Oryzias latipes: one gene and its partner. The protein of the gene in region 2 binds, or shares a complex with, the protein of the main gene of each other region. Links are inferred from orthologs where the notes say so. Each region holds a gene or a part of one and is shown on either strand. Other genes may lie near its edges. The genes, in order: pbrm1 and arid2.

The links.
Region 1: arid2 (region 2) and pbrm1 share a complex: the UniProt entries of both Homo sapiens proteins name them as parts of the SWI/SNF-B (PBAF) chromatin remodeling complex. The link is inferred for Oryzias latipes from reciprocal best matches to the Homo sapiens genes ARID2 and PBRM1.

The regions. Positions count from the first base shown.
Region 1 is NC_019863.2:2,537,055-2,540,883, reverse strand, and holds part of pbrm1 (protein polybromo-1), read right to left. Parts: intron 3,014-3,829; coding exon 2,897-3,013; intron 2,828-2,896; coding exon 2,759-2,827; intron 2,679-2,758; coding exon 2,580-2,678; intron 2,502-2,579; coding exon 2,416-2,501; intron 2,329-2,415; coding exon 2,243-2,328; intron 2,140-2,242; coding exon 1,923-2,139; intron 1,656-1,922; coding exon 1,514-1,655; intron 368-1,513; coding exon 273-367; intron 193-272; coding exon 1-192. UniProt on the Homo sapiens protein: Involved in transcriptional activation and repression of select genes by chromatin remodeling (alteration of DNA-nucleosome topology). Required for the stability of the SWI/SNF chromatin remodeling complex SWI/SNF-B (PBAF).
Region 2 is NC_019881.2:4,013,350-4,015,946, reverse strand, and holds part of arid2 (AT-rich interactive domain-containing protein 2), read right to left. Parts: intron 1,705-2,597; coding exon 1,581-1,704; intron 1,355-1,580; coding exon 1,263-1,354; intron 1-1,262. UniProt on the Homo sapiens protein: Involved in transcriptional activation and repression of select genes by chromatin remodeling (alteration of DNA-nucleosome topology). Required for the stability of the SWI/SNF chromatin remodeling complex SWI/SNF-B (PBAF).

The DNA of each region.
Region 1 (3,829 bases), on a different chromosome or scaffold from region 2:
GAGCGAATGTTGTGCTCGATGGTCCTCAGGTCCATGGGCTCCAGGATAATTTTGTAATAGTCGGGGTAGTCCTTCTTTGAGGGCTTCACCATGAAGAGGTCACACAGTCTACGACCAACGCCGGCCTCTCGCGCCTCAGTCACAGCAGCTACCAGAGCCTTCATGCGATTCTTTTTGGTATTCTTCTTATGACTAGAAAACACACAAAGCAGAATTAACACCAAGTTCTCTTCCACAATGAATGTTCAGAGAATGAAATGGGTGCAATTAACCTTTTTCTTTTCGTAGTACTGGTGTCAGACGTGGCTGAGGAGAGCATGCTGTCACCATCATCATCCTCTCTCTGTAAAAGTTCCTTCCTCTTCAGCTACACGAATAACAGGATTCAGCCATTATACTTCATGAAAAATACAAAGAAACTGATGGAAGTTAAAAAATAGTGTTCTTAAAGCCCCACTCTAATGAAAATGATGTTTTGGTGTTTTTAATATCGTCTTTTAGCATTTTGCTCATGATGGAGGACACAAAATAACATTGTCTGACTTTTAAATAATTTATTTGCAAATTATGGTGAAAAGTAAGAATTTGGTCAGCTACAAACAAGCAAAACTTCTGGCTCTCAGACCTGTAACTTCTTCTGTAAGAGGATCCTCTTTCCTCCACTCGTTACCTGTTTTAAAAGCTCCTGTTTGAACTGGTTATCTATAGAAAAGACACCTGTCCACAACCTCAGACAGTCACACACCAAACTCCACTATGATTAAGACCAAAGAGCTGTCTAAGGACACCAGAAACCAAAATGTTGACCTACACCAGGCTGGAAAGACTGAATCTGCAACAGGTAAGCAGCTTGGTGTGAAGAAATGGAAGACATACAAGACCACTGATAATCTCGATCTGAGACTCCTCGCAAGATCTCACCCATCATGCTTTGGGTCTGTTTTCAGCAAAGGGACCAGGATGACTGATCTGTGTTGAGGAAAGAATGAATGGGGCCATGTATCGTCAAATTTTAAATGAAAACCTCCTTCCATCATGACAACCATCCCAAACACGTTGCCCGGGTAACGAAGGAGTGGCTTCATAAGAAGCACTTCAAGGTCCTGAAGTGGCCTAGCCAGTCTCCAGATCTCAACCCCATAGAAAATCTTTGGAGGGAGAAGAAAGTCTGTGTTGTCCAGCAACAACCCAAAAACACCACTACTCTAGAGGAGATCTGCATGGAGGAATGGACCAAAATACCAACAACACAAGACTCACAGAAAACATTTGACTGCTGTCATTGACAACAAAGGGTATATAACAAAGCTGTACTGTTGTTATTGACCAAATACTTATTTTCCACCATAATTTACAAATAAATTATTTGAAAAAAATCAGACAATGAGATTTTAGATGAGGGAAACCATGATGAAGAGTACAGGCTTCTCTCATCTTTTTAAGTGGAAGAACCTGCACAGTTGGTGGCTGACTGAATAAAGATCAAAAGATGATTGGAGCAGAAAAACCAGACCTGCTGAATGTGCTGGAGTTTGAGCGCACGCTTGTAGATGGAGGAGTGAGGAACATTATAGCGTTTGGCGTTCTCAAACATCAACGTCAGATCTGAGTCGACGTGCTCCACGCTCGCATACTCGTTGTTCTTCATCTTGCTCCTGTGGGGAATTGAGGGTTCTCACATTTGGGAAGGGGGAGAGGGCACAGAAATACTGGACTTTACAGTGGGTGAGTATGTGTGGGGAAAATACTTCTCACGGGCAGAAATGCAAAGAAAACAAAAGAACTTTTAACTAAAAGCAACAAAAACATGAGGTAAACAAACTTCCCGGTGAACAACATCATTTTTCTTGAGAAACTTTTGTCCAACACTGAATTTGTTCCTTATTAAAATATTCTTTTAATTCCACTTATTTCCGCCATACTTGATCTGTTGCAGGCAGATGGGCTGACTGATCTGGTGGTAGTAGTCAGGATAGTCTTTCCTGGAGGGCAGCTGCAGGAAAGGCTCGGAAATCAGTTGGCCCTGACTGTTCCTGGCTCCTCGCACGGCTTCGTAAAGCTGGAAGATGGGGTTGCTCATGTCCATGTTTGATGTCATGCTCTCCGCTTCAGATTCCCCCTCATCATAGTGGACAGAGCCTGACAAATGCAGGAACAATAAACACGGGATTTCACAAAATAAAGAAGCATCATCAATGTCTGAGAAAAACTAAGTCCATTTACGAAAGAGGAGCAAAGGTACCAGATAGTATTCCCTCCTCGTCACTCTCATACTGAAGTGCCATGGTGATGGCGGAGAGGCGATCCCCTTGAGTTGACTTTCTATTCCTTACAGAGAACACGTTAGAAAAGGTCAAACCAAAATTCGCTGAAGTTCCCGCCGACGTTGTTTAAAGAGGTCGTTGTGGTCCAAACCTGATGCGGATGCTGGATTTGACAGGTTCCCCGTGCTCCAGCTCAGACTTCTTCTGTGCAAAAATCTTTTTAATCGTGTTAGCGTCCTAGCAGACAAAATACCAGGAACACGTGTGAAAGGTCGGACGGACACTATGCAGCACATAAGATTCTCAGAAACATACCTTAAAAACCTGTGACCCCGGCTCATTGTACGCTTTAGCGTTCTTCACCAACAAGTCTATGTCTTTTGCCATGGCAGCACAACTCCTGTAGTGACCCAACTAGAACAAAAAATTTACTTGATGTGGATAAAAACAGCAAAAACTTCGTCACACCCAGACAGCTCCGTTGGAACCGGTACCTGGATCTTCTGAGCGATGGTTTTCAGATCTATCGGTTCTTTGATGACGGCGTAATAGTCTGGATATTGCTAAACAAAAGAGAGACTTCAAATTAGAGTAAAGACTCCTAACATATGAATTGTCGGGGTCCCATGTACCATTTTGGAGGGAAGCTTCTGGAACAGCTCACTGACTAGGCGTCCCGTTGGTTCGGTATAAGACACGACAGCATCAAGAAGCTGCTCTAGGACATCCTTTAAGCAGGAAGGTGTCGTCTGAGTTAGAATGAAAGGGATCAGATTTATGGAAATGCCTTGGTTCATCAGCTTCATCATCCTTTTGACTGGAGACATTTTCTACTACAACACAGAGGCCTCGAAGTGCAAATCAGATCAATGAATCACTCAGCACTCAAACATATTAAAGAACACAATGACAGTACAAAAGCAAAACAAATAATCAGAAAAAGCACTACATTTTAGAAATCCAAACAAATAAGGAAACAAACTAAGAAACTGGAAAAGGCAGACACAATGGGATGTCACTGATTGGTTGATCATGTTTGAGCTTTGAAGAAGAGGGAAAGCAGAAGGATGTTTTACCTGAACTGTGGTAAAAGGTTGATTGAACTTTTGCAGTGATTGTGGTCAGAAGCTTCTGCCTGTGGATACCGCCATCACAAATAACATAGGTTGAAAAGGCAAACAAACGTCATCATCCAATCAGTGCTCCATGTCCCAGAATATCTACCTTTTCCATTTTCTAATTTGGTTTAATTGGTTGAATGTTGTAAACCCTTTAACCCCTTGTTTTCCTGTTTCTCTTTCTTTTTTATAGTATCTCCTTCTACAATTTTTCAGTTTTTTTAACCATTCAACTATTCAAATGTTCAGCTCTTTCAGCTTTTTCCAGCTATGACCTTTGGTTTTTCAAATGCTTGAACTTTTCATGATATCCCAGGATTTCCAGGATTTTTGCCTCAATTGAAACACGTGGGGAATCCTTGAAAACCTTTGCTTCTTTCTGTGGGGCAGAAGCTCGCTGGTTCGATACCCAGCGCTGACATTTTTCACAAAAATATCTTTTCTGTT
Region 2 (2,597 bases):
ATCTTTAGACATGGACCCACAAAGCTCAAGTTTCACACCAGCAGCTTTGATTCCTACACATATAGACACGTCTAAGGAAAAGCTGCAAACAAATTAGTGTGTGAGAGGAAAACAACAACCCTGCTGAAGTTAGGCATCCTGTTCACTTCCAGGTTACACCTGGTTTGAAAACAAAAGAACCAGGTGCAGTTCCAAAAGCAATCCTTCTAGGATTTCACAATCTGGTAATTACACCAGATCCCAGTTTTTCTCAAACCTGCAACTTTGGCGGATTTTTTTCATTTTTGAGTTTCGCTATCATCAAACTGTCTTCACCAATCAGGTTCAGAGGCTCGAACACAAACACTATAAAAATAAATCTGACCAATCAAACGAGTCGCTGCATGAATACCTGGAGATCAAGACATGGCTGATCAAGTCTCAACATTGAGTTCATAATAAACAGACTATGGAGTGGTCCATTTGTAAACAGATTCTGCTGCAGTTCCCTTATAAACAGATTCATGGGGGTATTCCATAAAGCAGGTTATTTGAGTTACCACTGTAAGGCTAAGGAAGCAGATAAATGGAGGTATGTTTCAGGGTAGGTCACGTTGCCATAGCAACTCATGCTCTGCACATAACCTGGTCTGGAGCAGGTTTAGTTGAAGGTTAGTTTGTTTTCAGTGAGGTGAAGCAGCATGGCGTGTCCATTTGAAGATGATTTAGTGGATGAACAAGCTCAGATAATATTTTTTCCACCGTGAGAGGGGGATAAGACCACATAAGGATGTTGGAAAGAGAAACTTTTTTACTTTGATCTAACTTAATTATTTGCTTCAGTTAAGATAAATCTTTTTTTTGTTAGGTCAGTTTAAAAAGTAACACGTAGTTTTCAGATAGTTATTTTACTTTCAATTCAATTGATTCAAATAAGTAGGTGTAACTTTGGTGCTGCTGTTAGATCGGCACCGCAAGGGATTGTGGGATACCATTTCTTTTCCCTGTCTGGACGGATTTTGGTTTAAGTGTGGGTTTTTGACCAAATGTGTTTAGTTGTTTAGCTGTTTTACTGTGTTTTACCGAGTTTTGCAGAGTTATTTTGTCCCACTATGCTTAAGTCTCTGCACCATGAGTGAGAGTGAAAGAGAGGATGATGAGTTTATATAGCACCCCTACTGTCCATATCCATAATGACAATGACGGAAATTGGTGCCATTCGGTTGTAAACGGATTCTGGTGCGATTCTGCGAAAGTTGTGTATCTTTGGCTCTTATACTCACTTTCGACCGCAGTCTGAGTGCTTTGCGATGTTCTTTAACGTTAAGGCAGCAGTTAGTCGAATGTGTTTCGTCACTGGTCCCTCTTTCTCATCCTGGGGAGGCACAGACAGAGAAGGGAGGGGTTTAGAGTTAGCAATTCTGACAAAAAACGTTCATCAGTAAATGTCAACAGTAATGTAAAAAACATAAAACTGCTCAGATCTCTTTACTCCAGTGTCAGTCCAGACTGGAGTCTGAGCTGCTTACTGCCCCCCACCCACCACCAAAAGCCCTTCTGAAGGGCAGGAGAACTGCACCGGGTCAGTCTGCTGTACTCACAGTGAAGTCCCTGAAGACCAGGTTTCGAGAGCCTCTGCGCAGCGCCATCAGAGCGGCGCTCGGGTGATTGATGATTGCTTTGGGCGCCCTTTGTGCCACGGGGCTGCCGGCCACCGGGGGTGTCCTTCACAACACGCCAAAAACACAAGTCAGCAAACATCGTAGAGGTGATGCCATCAAAAGCAAACACTGCCAAAACCCTGGTAAAAGAAACTTTTGGTGAAAGCCAGTTAACCCTTTAAGGCCGGAGGTCTAGCTTCAGTGTTGAGCTTTTTTAAAAGCGTATTTAGAGGTTTTGTTTTTTATATTAATTATCCGGGCGCATCCGTTTAAGAAAGTGGAAAAATATCAAGTTTTTACTAGAAATTATTCACAATAAAGTTCAAAGTGGCTGTAAGGAAAACTCTGATGACCCAGCATTCTAGCAGCATTTAAACACATCGTCTAACACCAAACTTGGAGATGTGGCGAGTCTTGCATCGGATTTGTGCAGTTCTGTGTGCATCGGGCGACTGGTGCGTGCAATTTAAAGATTCCTGTGCGTTGGAGCCGTTGGCTGAAATTTCAGGTTGTCAGTGCGTAAAGTGTATTTCATATTTTCGGTAGTTGAGTGTACACACAGTTATCAAAAATTACGCAGACACAAATCCTGTAAAGAAAAGAACAGTCTCCTTCGATTTGTGTGTGTATAGTTTTTGATTTGTAACTCATACAATACAATGTGCGTAACTGTGTGTACTTGTAATTGTGTATTAACTTGTACAAAAGTGACAAAATACAATAAACACACACACAACTTTAAATAACAGCAGCTTAAAACTAACTATACATGTAAATCTTTAAAAAGCACAGTCGACTGATACACAAAACCGCGTTTACCCATAGTACAGGTGTGAGACCTCACATCTCCAAGTTTTTTGTGTTAATGATGCGTTTACATACTGCTAGAATGCTGGGTCATCAGAGTTGTTTTTAATTAGCCGTTTTGAACTTAGATTGTCAACAACATCTGGTGAA